Callithrix jacchus: one gene and its partners. The protein of the gene in region 1 interacts with the protein of each later gene in a pairwise test. Links are inferred from orthologs where the notes say so. Each region holds a gene or a part of one and is shown on either strand. Other genes may lie near its edges.

Region 1 (4,637 bases):
AAAAAAAAAATCAGCATACCTCTAATTCCTTTGGAAAGGATTCCCTACTCTATAAAAGCATAAAAACATCAATGTCAAATCTGAGTTTGTTTTTTTTAGCACTATCCAAATAATCACATTTAAAAAGTTGATGTCAAACTAAAGCAAACATTTTATTTTATTTAGAAGTTTAATATTTATTTCTACATTATTATTATCTGTAAACTTAACAGTGAGCCAAATAGGAAACACTAACATAATTCAGAATTATGCAAACTGGAGCTGTGGAATCTATCAAAATATCCATGTTTGACAATTTAAAAAAATCTTGTATCAGCTATAGAAAAACGGTAACTTGAATGTGGGAAAAACAAATCAGAATTATAGCCTATGCTCCATTTAGAAGCCCTGCTCTATAATATATAAGCCCACACTCCAGCTACATGTAGTAGCAACAGCCCAGAAGGAACAGCTGGACAGTGGCCTAAAACAGTAAGTGGGAAATAGAACTTGGGCAACATTAGCCCTTACTCTCTGACTGCAGGCCAGTATGCACAAGCATGCAAAACCACACACAAATATGCACCTCACCCAAATAGGCTAAAAGATAAAGGACAAAAGTCAAAGCAGTATGGTATGTATAAACAGAAAGTTTAGTTATCTCCTCATGTGACCCTTGAGAATAAAGCCACACAGACTTTGAAACAGAGGCTGAAAAACTTTCAAAAGGCCAATGCCAGGGTACTGGCCACACACTTTCCAGTGAGAACATCCCCACACACAACCACACACCCACTTTCCAGTGAGAACATCCCCACATACACCCACACATACACTTTCCAGTGAGAACATCCCCACATACACCCACACATACACTTTCCAGTGAGAACATCCCCACATACACCCACACATACACTTTCCAGTGAGAACATCCCCACATACACCCACATATACACTTTCCAGTGAGAACATCCCCACACACAACCACACACCCACTTTCCAGTGAGAACATCCCCACATACACCCACACATACACTTTCCAGTGAGAACATCCCCACATACACCCACACATACACTTTCCAGTGAGAACATCCCCACATACACCCACACATACACTTTCCAGTGAGAACATCCCCACATACACCCACATATACACTTTCCAGTGAGAACATCCCCACATACACCCACACATACACTTTCCAGTGAGAACATCCCCACATACACCCACACATACACTTTCCAGTGAGAACATCCCCACATACACCCACATATACACTTTCCAGTGAGAACATCCCCACACACAACCACACACCCACTTTCCAGTGAGAACATCCCCACATACACCCACATATACACTTTCCAGTGAGAACATCCCCACACACACCCACACACCCACTTTCCAGTGAGAACATCCCCACATACACCCACACATACACTTTCCAGTGAGAACATCCCCACACACAACCACACACCCACTTTCCAGTGAGAACATCCCCACATACACCCACATATACACTTTCCAGTGAGAACATCCCCACATACACCCACACATACACTTTCCAGTGAGAACATCCCCACACACAACCACACACCCACTTTCCAGTGAGAACATCCCCACATACACCCACACATACACTTTCCAGTGAGAACATCCCCACATACACCCACACATACACTTTCCAGTGAGAACATCCCCACACACAACCACACACCCACTTTCCAGTGAGAACATCCCCACATACACCCACACATACACTTTCCAGTGAGAACATCCCCACACACAACCACACACCCACTTTCCAGTGAGAACATCCCCACATACACCCACATATACACTTTCCAGTGAGAACATCCCCACATACACCCACACATACACTTTCCAGTGAGAACATCCCCACACACCCACACACTTTGCAGTGAGAACATCCACACATAGACCCACTTTCCAGTGAGAACATCCAATTAGCCTCAATTCTCCAACCTGTAAAGAAGTCAAGGAAGCCACATACAGTACAGATAACAGCCTAGATCTTTAAAGCCAGAAAAGTCCTGGATTCATACTTGGCTTTTACCACATACTAGCCATGTGACCTCAGAAAAAGTACATTATACCTTCCTAAGCCTCAATTTTCTCATCTTATTACTGATAATACCTACTCTAAAATAACACTGAAACTACTTGTAACAAAGGAACTGCTCCACAAAATTAGTTTCCTTCAAATGAACTGGGACTTCATGAGGCAGTCCTGTACAGATTTACAAGGGGGCTAAAACAAGCTTCGCCCTTGTTTTTCCATGAACTCAAAACAAACACGAGTCACGCTCTTCAGTAACTTAAGGGAAGATATTTTTCTTAAAGAGCTGGAATGATAAACTATCTTAGCCCTTAACCTTCCCAAAGACCTCATCCACTATTTAATATTGAGAAAGTAGTATTTAAATAAAGTACCTTGAAGGACAAAGATCTCTGAGTTGTTTGGAAATTATTCCAACTTGAAAACATTCTTCTACAAACCGCTCCAGTACAGAGTATGAATGTGGGACATCCAGATTAATGTCCGGAATTTCATTGTAAATTCTCTCATAACCCTACAACAATGAAATTACACAAAGAACTGTTAGCCCATATAATACGTGTCATAAAACACAACCCATCACTATGTCATCAATCTACATTTAAGGCCAAATGTTCATATGGTTAAACTGAAGCCAGATTTGAATCCCGAGAAGCACAGAAAGTAGTAGATTTGTTACACTATTTTACTTTAAAACTGTTCTCTTTATTAAAGTCAGGAAATAACAGACATTGGCAAGTTGTAGAGAAAACAGAAGGCTTATACACTGTTGGTGGGAATGCAGCCCCTGTAGAAAATGGTTCGGAGATTTCTCAAAGAACTCAAGACAGAATTGCCATTCAACCCAACAATCCCATTACTGGGTGTATACCCAAAGGAAAAGAAATCATTCTACCAGAATGACACCTACATTTGTATATTTATTGGGTACTATTCACAAGAGCAAAGACATGGAGTCAACTCAAGTGCCCATCAATGGCAGATTAGACAAAATGTGGTACATATACGCCCATGGAATGCTACCCAGCCATAAAAAAGAATGAAATCATGTACTGTGCAGCAACGTGAATGCAGCTGCAGGCCATTACCCTAAGAAAATTATCATAAACATAAAACCAAGTAATGCATGTTCTCACTTATAAGTGGGAGCTAAACACTGGGTACACAGAGACATGAAGATGGAAGCAATAAACATTGGGAATTTCAAAAGCGGGGACAGGGAAAGAGGACAAGAGTTGAAAACTACCTATCAGGTACTATGTTTGCTACCTGAGGGACAGGATCATTAATTAGAAGCCCAAACCTCAGCATCACACAATATACCCATCTAACAAACCTGCACATATACCCCTCTGATATCTAAAATTAAAAATATAATAAGTAAAATTGGTTACATAGCGAAAAAAATGTTAAATACTGTTCTCTCAAAAGAGCTGCAGGCAGACATCAGATACTGAGCAAACTCCTTTGCCATCTACTTCTCTATATACATTTAGTATCTTTAAAAAAAATACAAGGCAAAAAAAGTAAAAACCTGACCAACATTTAAACAACAATACATAAAATTTTAAATAGGAAAAAAGTACTTTATAATGTGTTAAAAGTTCATGTTTCTCTCTAGATATAAAATAGAACTTGTCACATCTTAGAAACTGAACCTTTGAGGTAGAGTACATAATCACATTTGTTAAAGTAGGTAGAAAACCCACTGCAGTGTTAATTTCCAAGAAATGGTTGCAAAAGATTCAAACCTCAAACATTACTATTAAGAAAACACAAAACATATAGGCATAATAACACTAAATATACCTAAAGAAAATTTCATTGACAATTAATAATCTTTATTCAATCATATATTGAAAGCATAATCCTAAAAATTATTCAAAAATAATGTTATACTTACTCTTTTCATTTGGTCTACAGTAATGGTAGAAGACATCCAAAGGGACTTTAATAAATCCAAAATCATCTTAAATGTACTTTCTCCAGTTGACTCTAAAACCATTATAATAGCCTAAAAATTGAATGAACGAATGAGTGAATTTTTGGTTATTCATAGACAAAACTGCTCCTAAAATGTACCAGATGCCTTTTGTAATCATAAAAATTTAAAAACCAATTCCTCCTTTGACATTAAAAAGATGTATATTATTTAAAAAAGCATAAATCACTGTGGTACAACATGAAATACTTAATTCTTTTAGATATGGCAAGGTAATCTTACTTCATATACAAGCTCATGGTGAAAATGAGGTACTTCCAGTTCCTTAAGGCAATGTTCAGCTTCAGATATATCTCCAGAGAGTAAATATTCTTTCAGCAGCATATCAATCTATTAGATTTAAAAGTTGAGATGTGTTAGAATTCCTAACTTTTAAAAAAGTGTGCTTGCCTACAGGATTATCTGCTCTCATCCCAATATAATGAAATAGTAGGTAACAAACAGCTAATAATACACAGACTGGACATGGTACTATTAACAGAATTTTTCATAATTAAAAAATAAATCTCCAATTTTTAAATGGTTCATAATTATGATTCAAATGCGATGCTTCAGTGTGTCTGAATCTACAAGTAGGTTTA
Region 2 (5,095 bases), on another chromosome or scaffold:
TCCTGGGTTCAAGCAATTCTTCTGCCTGGGTAGTAGCTGGGACCACAGGTGCGTGCCACCACACCCGGCTAATTTTTATATTTTTAGTAGAGACGAGGTTTCACCATGTTGGCCAGGATGGTCTCAATCTCTTGACCTTGTGATCCGCCAGCCTCAGGCTCCCAAAGTGCTGGGATTACAGGCGTGAACCACAGCGCCCGGACTTTTTTTTTTGAGGTGGAGTTTCGCTCGTTACCCAGGCTGGAGTGCAATGGCGCGATCTCGGCTCACCACAACCTCCGCCTCCTGGGTTCAGGCACTTCTCCTGCCTCAGCCTCCTGAGTAGCTGGGATTACAGGCACGAGCCACCATGCCCAGCTAATTTTGTGTATTTTTAGTAGAGATGGGGTTTCACCATGTTGACCAGGATGGTCTCAATCTCCTGACCTCGTGATCCGCCAGCCTTGGCCTCCCAAAGTGCTGGGATTACAGGCGTGAGCCACCGTGCCTGGCCTATTTTGTTTTAAGAGACAGAGTCTCGATCTGTCTCCCAGGCTGGAGTGCAGTGCCTCGATCTCGGCTCACTGCAACCTCTGCCTCCTAAGTAGCTGGGATTACAGGTGCCCGCCACCATGCCCGGCTAATTTTTTGTGTGTTTTTAGTAGAGATGAGGTTTCACCATCTTGGCCAGGATCCACTCACCTTTGCCTCCCAAAGTGCTGAGATTACAGGAGTGAGCCACCATGCCCAGCCGAGCATCTCCATTTCTAACCAGCTCCTGGTAATGCAGTTGGTCTACCAGCCACAGAAAGGAAGCTTCAGTTAAAGGAAGTTCCATGCATCAACTATGCAATTTCAGATGCCTTCAAGTAAAATCAACCTGATGAAATTTAAAAACATTTCCAAGCTCACCCTAACCCTGAAATAGATTCTCATTCCAACCAATTTCGGGAAGGGAGGGGCCAGTTAGTTTTAAAATTTCCATTTCAAATTATTAGAGCCGGGATGTTGGCTCATGCGTGTTATCCCAGCACTCTGCAAGGCTGAGGCAGGACGACTGCTTGAAGTCAGGAGTTTAAGACCATAAGACCAGTCTGGTCAACAGAGGGAGACCCTGTCTCTAAAAACATTTTAAAAATTAATAATCAGGCAGGTGTGGTGCTGTGTGCCTGTAAAGCTACAGATGATTACTTTAAATATTTGAGCAGATAACTTAAATACTTTAATAATGTAAATATTTAAAGAGACAATTATGTTTTAGTTTGTTAACACTGTGGTGAGTGATGATCCCGCCCCTATACTCCTGCCTGGGTGAGTGAGTGAGATCCTGGCTCTCAAAAAAAAAAAAATTAGAAAAATGAGGTCTGGCACGGTGGCTCACACCTGTGATACCAGCACTTTGTAAGGCCAAGATGGAAGAAGCAATCGCTTAAACCCATGAGTGACCGACCAACCTAGGCGGCACAGTGAGACCCTGTCTCTACCAAAAATTTAAACCTTAGCCAGGTGTGCTGGCAGACACCTGTTAGTCCCAGCTACTCAGGAGGCTGAGGTGAGAGGATCGCTTGAGCCCAGGAGGCTGCAGCTGCTGTGAGTTGCGATGGCGCCACCGCACTTCAGCCCGGCGCCAGAGCAAAACCCATCAACACTGAAACTCTCCCAAAGAAAAAAACAGATTAGAAAAGTGAGTGAAATGGCCCAAGACCATAGAGTAAGTTACTAGAAAAGCTGGTGGCATCTTAGAAATACAAATCAGAGTTTATGGGAAAAGTTTTATATTTTTAATGAAAAAGACTTAGAACGATGTATTATTTACATGTAAATAAGAAAAGAGAGCAGAATCCCCATATCTTCTTCGGAGGAAGGGAGAGGGCAGACCATTTATGAGAAGAGAGTTCACATCAACCCCACTCAACAGAAGCTGGACCTAAATGCTTTCAAACAGGAATACACAGCAGGTGAGCAGTCTCCACTCATCCTCACAGATCAGCGGCTTCAGATCAGATCAGCGGCTTCAGATCAGATCAGCAACTGAAAGTGAAGATACAGATAAGGAACAATACAAACAAAATGAAAACTCCTAACGTCAATTTAGCTAAAACTTCACAACAGACTTCTCAAAACAAAAGACAGGCCAGGCATAGTGGCTCCTGCCTGTAATCCCAAACACATTAGGAGGCCGAGGAAGGCAGATAGATCACTTGAGGCCAGGAGTTCAAAACCAGCCTGGCCAACATGATGAAACCCTGTCTCTAAAAATACAAAAATTAGCTGGCTGTGGTGGCCAGCGCCTGTAATCCTAGCTGCTAAAAATGCTGAAGTGGGAGAATCACTTGAAACCAAGAGGCAGAGGTTGCAGTGAGCTGAGATAGCGCCATTGCACTCCAGCCTGGGTGACAGTGTGAAACTCCAATTCAAACAAACCAACTCAAGGGCTACAAACTGAAAGTAGGCAGGTTCCCTCTGTAGTTACAATTACGGTAACGCTGAACGACTTCCTACCGTTCATAGGCATCTCATCGATCTGAGTGGAATAGTACTGCTCGATGTCTCTGAGGATGCGAATGTCGTCATTCTTCACAAAGTTAATGGCCACACCCTTCCGGCCATACCGACCTGATCTCCCAATTCTTCAAGAATCGAACAATATTACAGTTAGTATATATAGCAATAAAGATGCAGTAAATGTGTCAACAGAAGTGAAGCCAATGAAAACTTGCACCCCTACCTGTGTATATACAATTCTCTGTTATTGGGCAGATCGTAGTTAATGATGAGAGACACCTGAGGGACATCCAACCCCCTGGCCCAGACGTCTGTAGAAATGAGCACTCGGCTGCAAAAAAGAAAGACTGTTTAAGGCGATCAAATTACTCATGAAAGTGTAAGACTGGCCTTGCTTCCACTGCTCATTTTAAGAAGCCTGGCTACAAATCCAGAATGTATGAGGTCACCCCTCATACCAGTCTGCAAACATGAAGCCTCAGGGACAGCACCAGAAACCCCTGTGCAGAGAGGCTGTTGCTGCATCTAGTTACTTCGGACATGTGCTCCATGAGATAAAAAAAAGACATCTTTTACTATACTACCTTTTTAACTTATTTACTTGGTCCTAAACCAGGATTTGGGAAAAATATTTTACTTCTGCCTAGCAAAAAATTAAGAACAGTAAGTTCGGTTAGGCATGGTGGCTCATGCCTGTAACCCCAGCACTTTGGGAGGCCAACGCAGGCAGATCAGCTGAGGTCAGCAGTTCAAAACGAGCCTGGCCAACATGGTGAAACCCCGTCTCTACTAAAAGTACAAAAAAAAATTAGCCATTTCAGGCTACTCGGCAGGCTGAGGCATGGGAATCACATTAAACCAGGAGGCAGAGGCTATAGTGAACCAAGATTGTGCCAATGTTCCCCAGCCTGGGTACACACAGCACATTTCTTCAGCTGACCACAAGGTGGGCCGAGAAGGAAGTCTGAATCAAATTCTGATGACTGAAACCACACAATCCACGCTATCTGACCACTAAGGAATTCAACTAATCAGAAAAATGAACACAAAACCACTCCTTATTTGGAAGAGAAGACACGCCCTTGTAACCAAGGTGACCAACCTGGCTGGTTAAGGCTAGTTACCAGATCACCCTCAGTATTACAGGAGCAGAGCAGACCACCCCGTTAGCGGGAAGGCATTCTGCTGACCCAGGGCCTCGGCTCTGGAGCAGGCACATCATCTCCCCAGGCCTGGGCCCTGCCCGGAAGCAGTGCACATAAACTGCCTGCCATACAATCCAGCAAACCCTGAGCAGCAGAGCCGCAGAGCACAGCTGACCGACCTGGCGCCTGACCGGAACTCCTTCATGATGGACTCCCGCTCTTTCTGGGGCATGTCTCCATGCATCGAGGACACGGTGAAGTTGGCTTCTCTCATTTTCTCCGTCAGCCAGTCCACCTACAAATGCCAAACCACAGATGTGCATTCAGGATTTTACCTCCACCATCTGCTGAACCAGTGTCAATATTCATAGGTAACTGCTCCTAAAACTCAGAATCATCTTAACTGGATGTGCAAAAAACACCTTTCCCCAGAAAATGTTCGGGTGCCCCTACAAAACCCTCTTCATTTTCTCCACATGATGATTCTATGGGGCAAGGGGCCAGGTCTGCTCATTCTCATTTGAAATTTAAGTTTAAATTCCAATCTTGTTAGAATGTAGCCCAACTCCTTTCCTTTCTCAGGAGAGTGGCCGAGAGTTCTCAGGTCTGCCTCCAAATGAGCATCACCTAGGGATCTGAAACCACTCAGGCCTGGGTTCCACCTTAAACCAACAAAATCTGCGTCTTTCAGGTGGCTGACGTTGTCGTCGTTCTGTAAATAAAGTTTGAATGGTCACAGCCACGTCTGACCGTTTGCATACTGTCTACAGCTGCTTTCCCAAGAGACCACGTATCCTGGAAGCTTAAAATATGGACAAACTGGCCCTTTACTGAAAAAGCTTGATCTAAGTCATTAAGAGACTCAGTCTTCAATTTCCCTTCAAGCACCTGGAGGCAGTATAATGCGTCTTACCTTCCTTTTGGTGTTGCAGAAGATGACCGCCTGAGTGATGGTCAGTGTGTCATAAAGGTCACACAGAGTATCAAATTTCCACTCTTCTCTCTCCACTGCCACGAAAAACTGCTTGATGCCTTCCAGAGTCAATTCATCACTGAAGGACAAAGACAAATCCTGTCACACACTAGGACTGAGGGCAGGCCAGGCTCTAGGGAGACCCCGGTGGAGAAGGTCACACCCTGATACCTGGCGCAGACCCAGCCCTGTCCCCCATCCTGCCTCCATTCTATGCCCTACTCAACATTTCACAATGTGCACCACGTGAAATGATTCTAACTAAAACATGATAAGTAAATACCATCACCCAATGTTTAAATTTGGGATTACTGGTTCAAAGCAGAATGAGTATTATAAAAACTGGTTTTCTGTTTGGTTTTGTTTGAGACAGGGTCTGTTGCCTTGGCTGAAGTGCAGTGGCACGATCACAGCTCACTGTAGCCTCAACCTCCTGGCCTCAATTGATCCTCCCACCTCAGCCTTCTGAGTAGCTTCGACTACAGGCGTGAAC
Region 3 (6,084 bases), on another chromosome or scaffold:
CTCACTGCATCATCCTCCACCTCCCAGGTTCAAGCGATTCTCCTGCTTCAGCCTCCCGAGTAGCTGAGACTACAGGCATGTGCCACCACGCCGGGCTAATCTTTTGTATTTTTAGTAGAGACGGGGTTTCACCGCGTTAGCCAGGATGGTCTGGAGCTCCTGACCTCATGATCCGCCTCCCTAGGCCTTTCAAGGTGCTGGGATTACAGGCGTGAGCCACAGCACTCGTCCCCTATTAAACATTTTTGAAGTCATAAATCCTTAATTGACCTTCATAGGTTAAGAACAACTCTTTTCTCTTCAGGGAATAGCTTATCTTGTTAAGGTGTCAGAAGGAGACTTAAGAAAAGCCATTACGTTTCTTCAAAGTGCTACTCGATTAACAGGTGGAAAGGAGATCACAGAGAAAGTGATTACAGACATTGCTGGGGTAAGAGTACTGGATATTCTGAATTTTAGTTGGCTTTTGTGACTTTTAAGAAATTTTCATCCAGCTAATACCGAATGTTTAGCATGTACCAAGTACTGCACTAGGTATAAGGGAACAGCCTGGGAGTATCAGTGTTTCAGGTGAGGAGATAACGCTGACTTTTCAGATTGTCAGGCATGTAATAGACATTTCAGGAAGGAAAAGGACACTTTGATTTCCTCTATTTTTTTTTTTTTTTTTTTTTTTTTTGAGATGGAGTCTTGCTCTATTGCCCAGACTTGATTGCAGTGACACAATACCAGCTCACTGCAACCTCCACCTCACAAGTAGCTGGGATTACAGGTACCTGCCACCACATCTGGCTAATTTTTCTATTTTTAGTAGAGATGGCATTTCACCATGTTGACCAGGTTGGTCTTGAACTCCTGACCTCAGGTGATCTATCTGCCCCCACCGCAACCCACCTCGGCCTCCCAAAGTGCTGGGATTGCAGGAGGTGGGAGCCACCATGCCTGGCCTTCAGTTTTAGATTTTATGAGATGCTTTTCTTTGGCAGTTGAATCAGTTTTAGCAGATGTCCTGTTCTTATAGGTGAAAACTATTTTGCCAGTTGTATATAAACAAAAGGCGTATCCAATTTATAGTGATATTAATAAAATGGAGCACTCCATCTGTCTTTGGATACCCATGTCAAAACTCACCTCAGAATCACTACTACTTAAAAATTTAAGATTAATGGTAATCCTCTAATTTTCAGATATTGCAGACTTTTTAAACCATTATTAGTGGCATTTTTACTTGGCGAAAATTTTAGAAAGTCACTGGGGGAAAACTTAATGTTCATCCACTGACCAGAACAAGCTGTAATAATCACTTGGGCCGATTGTTTCATATGTCACAAAGCAGCCATGAAAGGGCTTTACAAACACAGCTGTTATCACCTTGGTTGCTTAGTAACTGGAGTTACTCTGGTCCTCCCTTTTCATTCTCCCAGTGCCTTCCCAACTTTGCAGCATTAACAGGACATTAGCTAGGTATTCCAAGTGTGGAACAGAAGGGACTGAGGTCAGGGAGGTGAATTTGCATTCTGTCTAGTCTTAACGTTTAATTACCTAGGTAATACCAGCTGAGAAAATCGATGGAGTACTTGCTGCTTGTCAGAGTGGCTCTTTCGACAAACTAGAAGCTGTGGTCAAGGTAAAGTCAGCTTACTAACTTTTGGGCAAGGAGTATTAAGTGATCATTACCAAAAACACTTTTTTTTAATTATAGGACTTAATAGACGAGGGTCATGCAGCAACTCAGCTTGTCAGTCAACTCCACGATGTGGTTGTAGAGAACAACTTACCTGATAAACAGAAGTCCATTATTACAGAAAAACTTGCTGTAAGTAGGTACTTTGCACATGTCAATGAAACATTTATACTTGAAGGATGCTAATTTCTGAGTTTTTCTTGCAGGAAGCTGACAAATGCCTAGCAGATGGTGCCGATGAACATTTGCAACTGATCAGCCTTTGTGCAACTGTGATGCAGCAGTTATCTCAGAACTGTTAGCGTCAATTTCTTTGTTTGCAAATAGAGGTTATAAAAATAAAATGACCAAAAAGCACCTTTAAAGTGAATATACAATTTATTTAACATTCAAACTTCATTAAGACATGTGCAATATGGCAATTTAACTGGGGATTAAACCCTACCTAGGATGATTGCTTGCTGGGGCTTAGCAACAGGGTCCAGTTCACACTTAGCACTAATTAAATACTTTATTGAATAAATACAATACCAAACAAAATGCAGTCAAATGCTTTCTAAAAAAAAATTTTAAAGGCCTTTCTACTCAGGCTAATGACAAACACAATAAAGGCAGATATGCTAGTTTAACATAATTGGCTGATTTTATACAGCACTTATATCTTTTAGTCCACAAGTAGATTATTAAATGATAGAGAACATCTAATACAACCATTTCTACAGAACTAGGAAATAAATTTCTAAGAAAGAAAGATTTTACAGACCCCATCTTTTATACCCACCCCAACAGTCTAACTCTAAAGAGGATAAAGCCAATGACTTTCCTCACAAGAGCTCACGACTAATGTCGCTTTGCTATCAAAATCTGTATTTCTGATCCGTTATGAGCATTGAGACAAGATTCAAATATTCCCAAAGAAAGAAGCACAATGCACGTTGTGATCGCCTATTCAGCAACAGCGAGCACTGCATCCAAAACTCTCATCCCAGGAATTAAATAAGATCAGCCACATTCATGGGCATCTCCTCCACTGTAGTATTGTAGAAAGTCTCAATGTCACGAAGAATCCTCTTGTCTTCTTCGGTAACAAAGTTTATAGCCACACCTTTCCTCCCAAATCGACCCCCTCTGCCAATTCTGTGTAAGAAAAAAGAAACCACAGTCAGAATGTTACTTCTCATGTAATTATAAACTACTGAACATGACGATCCACTTGTTAACCATCAGCTGCTGTTTACTTATCAAGGTTATAGTTCGTGCTTCTAACTGGAGCACTAGCTGCTAATATCTAGAGAAAAAAATCTTCCTTTGCAGTTAGTGCCAAAAGGATTCAAGGCTTGTCTGGCTGCAAAATGAGATTTTATCAGGCATCTTGAGCATTATTACAAAGCAGATGACAGTATTGTGTTTGGGGTAGTGAAATTAAAGCCCATACCAAAGTGGGCCAGCCAAGAGCAGGTGTCAGCCTGGGACAGATGTAAACACCAGGAATAAAACAAAGAGCAGTTATGTAATCCATTTCGACGCACCTCTGGAACTGTAAACTGTAAACAAATGCTGCAAAGGTTAACTATATTCTAAAACTTACTTTTTTCCAGTGGGAAAACAATTACTTGGTATGGTAACCCAAACTTAATCACTGCTTTTTTGCTCAGTTTCACACGTTGTAACTCAAGTTACTCAAAACGTGTTTAACCTCCAAAATAGCTACCTTCCATGTTAGAAACCAGACAATACAAACCACCTAATAGGAAAGGTTCCCTAATAGAAATACTAATAAAATGCCTTAGCTGGAACAACTTAAAGTAATCAAATAATCATGACAAAAGAAAAACAAATATAAATACCGACTCGCTCTTTATTCAAACAGTGTGCTGTTTCGCTTATGATTCCACGTCCTAAATTACGTCAACGCCGTTTCTGAGTGCCATCTCGTCATCAACTGCTGCTATCGACTCCTGTATTTTTTAAAAAGTCTTTTTTTACATCATATAACAAAGTACAATTCAATTTATTTAGGGATAAAGCCACTATAACTAAACCAGGGTTCACTCAAACTGCTATCAGGCGACACCACGAAAATCCCAACTATAAAAAAATCACCAAGAAAAAGCACATGAAAACAAGAACATCACTAAAAGCTCAAGCATAAACTAAGACCAACAACTGTGGGGAGTAAAAAACCTATGTCCACAATCGGGGCAATGTTTACAAGTTTTCCCACTTTGTTCTCTTCGGCCTTCCCTAGTACAAATTTAATTACATCTTACTGAACACTATTGACTTTACTCAATCTATTCCTTGATTTGACATGTACTCTTTCATACAAACCACATTAGAAAAACAAAGTTTTTTCCAATACAGCCAAGATGCTGGCTTCTCACCTGTGAATATAGTTTTCACGATTGGTAGGGAGATCATAATTTATAACCAAAGACACTTGTTGCACATCAATCCCGCGAGCCTGAAACACAATGGCATATGTTAAAAATTATAATCCAAAAAACTGAACACCTACCTAATAATGTAGGCCACAGAATAGTAGCGAACTATAATAAGTGGTACAGTCCACTGTGGAGTGTGGTCATTTATTCTTCCAATAGCCCAACCTGGTAAAGGTTACTTAATAAACCTTCCCCCCAAAAAGTTAACTTTTGGTAGATTTTTAAGAAGCACTGAGACTTACCAACAAGTCAGTAGTTATCAGAACACGGCTTGACCCTGATCGGAATTCCCTCATGATAACATCTCTCTCCTTCTGGTCCATGTCACCATGCTGCAAATTAATAAACCTTAATTCAAGAATCACCAGTCAGGTCAGTATTTAATTCTAATTAACATGTATGAGACCAAGCGTCCCTGGCTGCTACAAGGAGAATAGCAGACAGGTATAGTTAAGAAACAACGTTATTTTAAGCAGGGGGAACGACAACACAGCACTTAACAGCTATATTGTAGTCTAAATCCTGCTTTAGTGGAAATCTAGACATTTTAATTTAGAAAACCTCTTACCAGAGCAGAAACTGTGAAGTCTCTGGCATGCATTTTCTCAGTCAGCCAGTCCACCTTGCGCCTTGTATTGAGAAAAATAACAGCCTGTGTAATGGTCAGTGTCTCATACAAGTCACAAAGTGTATCCAACTTCCATTCCTATGTTTAGAAGAGAAAATTAACAGTCATTTAGTTTCCAACTTTCTTCAGTTAAAAATTCATTCTGGCCCTAGTTCAAATCCAGATGCCCCTGTCCCCAGTGTTTAAAAAAAAAAGAATTCACTCTGGTGCAGGTATGGTAGCTTATACCTGTACTCCCAGCACTTTGGAAAGCAGGCGGATCACTTCAGCCCAGGAAGTTCCAGACCACCCTGGCTAAGATAGTGATACCCTGTCTCCACCAAAAATACCAAAATTAACCAGTCTTGTAATACAGAAATTTTAGAAATTAAATTTATTCTGTAGGTCTAATGAGCTATTGCACCAAATCTTAAGACAAAGGACACTGGACATTAAGAAAGAGGTCCACCCGAGTCTTTACAATCTAGTGCTGTTACTTTTCTTCTTGTGTGTACTCTGCTAGCATTATTGCAAAAACCAAGATACAGTCCTAGTATCTGCAATTTTAGCACAGTGCTTATACAAGAAGGCAAAATAACATCTAACAATCAGACAGTTACCTCTCTCTCAACATTAATATAAAACTGTTTGATTCCTTCAAGGGTCAATTCTTCCTTTTTCACCAGAATTCGAATTGGATCTCTCATGAATTTTTTGGTCACTTCCAACACATCAGTTGGCATTGTGGCAGAAAGCAACACAACCTTAAAGAGAGACAATTATGTTGAAGCACAGCTTACACAGTAATACCCAAAGGACGATTGTCTTATTATGGTATGTAGTTAAGACAGAAATAGTTATGCATCAAGTGCTTTAAGCAGGGGGAACGACAATAAAACATGCCAGATGTATTTGTAACAGCACCTGCATTAAACCACATCTCTTTAAGAGAGGGGTGAAGTAATCCTTACCTGAATACTTGTATTTAGTTTTTGGAAAATCTCATAGATTTGATCCTTAAACCCACGACTCAACATTTCATCTGCTTCATCCAAAACAAACATTTTGATCCATTTTGGAGCTGTTAGAAAAAGGCCATATGTCATCTCTAGATCTACTGGGTGATAGTACGACTTTTCAACTATGTAACAGTTAAAAAAAAAAAGCATACATTTAAAGACAATACTTACAAAGGTATCTTCTGTTTAACATATCAAACACTCTCCCAGGGGTACCAACAACAATATGTGGTGCTTCAGCCTGCAGTTTTTGCATTTCATTTCGAACATTTGTTCCACCAATGCAGGCATGGCAAGTTGCTCCCATATAGTCTCCAAGTGCCAGAATTA

What was found.
Region 2: the proteins of PDCD4 (region 1) and EIF4A3 interact in binary tests that used the Homo sapiens proteins (3 or more experiments, as listed by UniProt). The two-hybrid records come from large-scale screens. The link is inferred for Callithrix jacchus from reciprocal best matches to the Homo sapiens genes PDCD4 and EIF4A3.
Region 3: the proteins of PDCD4 (region 1) and EIF4A2 interact in binary tests that used the Homo sapiens proteins (3 or more experiments, as listed by UniProt). The two-hybrid records come from large-scale screens. The link is inferred for Callithrix jacchus from reciprocal best matches to the Homo sapiens genes PDCD4 and EIF4A2.

The regions. Positions count from the first base shown.
Region 1 is NC_133513.1:103,838,014-103,842,650, reverse strand, and holds part of PDCD4 (programmed cell death protein 4), read right to left. Parts: intron 4,387-4,637; coding exon 4,279-4,386; intron 4,069-4,278; coding exon 3,958-4,068; intron 2,569-3,957; coding exon 2,429-2,568; intron 1-2,428. UniProt on the Homo sapiens protein: Inhibits translation initiation and cap-dependent translation. May excert its function by hindering the interaction between EIF4A1 and EIF4G. Inhibits the helicase activity of EIF4A. Modulates the activation of JUN kinase.
Region 2 is NC_133506.1:135,876,256-135,881,350, forward strand, and holds the end of EIF4A3 (eukaryotic initiation factor 4A-III), read right to left. Parts: intron 4,682-5,095; coding exon 4,543-4,681; intron 3,925-4,542; coding exon 3,809-3,924; intron 2,816-3,808; coding exon 2,708-2,815; intron 2,610-2,707; coding exon 2,482-2,609; intron 2,011-2,481; coding exon 1,994-2,010; 3' UTR 1,738-1,993; downstream 1-1,737. UniProt on the Homo sapiens protein: ATP-dependent RNA helicase. Involved in pre-mRNA splicing as component of the spliceosome. Core component of the splicing-dependent multiprotein exon junction complex (EJC) deposited at splice junctions on mRNAs.
Region 3 is NC_133516.1:15,754,754-15,760,837, reverse strand, and holds the end of EIF4A2 (eukaryotic initiation factor 4A-II), read right to left. Parts: coding exon 5,926-6,084; intron 5,817-5,925; coding exon 5,707-5,816; intron 5,500-5,706; coding exon 5,356-5,499; intron 5,327-5,355; exon of another isoform or gene 5,149-5,326; intron 4,835-5,148; coding exon 4,697-4,834; intron 4,657-4,696; exon of another isoform or gene 4,524-4,656; intron 4,461-4,523; coding exon 4,371-4,460; intron 4,346-4,370; exon of another isoform or gene 4,208-4,345; intron 4,149-4,207; coding exon 4,069-4,148; intron 3,643-4,068; exon of another isoform or gene 3,532-3,642; intron 2,822-3,531; coding exon 2,677-2,821; 3' UTR 2,044-2,676; downstream 1-2,043. Other genes in the region: RFC4 (replication factor C subunit 4), read left to right, coding at 305-430, 1,547-1,627, 1,703-1,816, 1,891-1,986. UniProt on the Homo sapiens protein: ATP-dependent RNA helicase which is a subunit of the eIF4F complex involved in cap recognition and is required for mRNA binding to ribosome.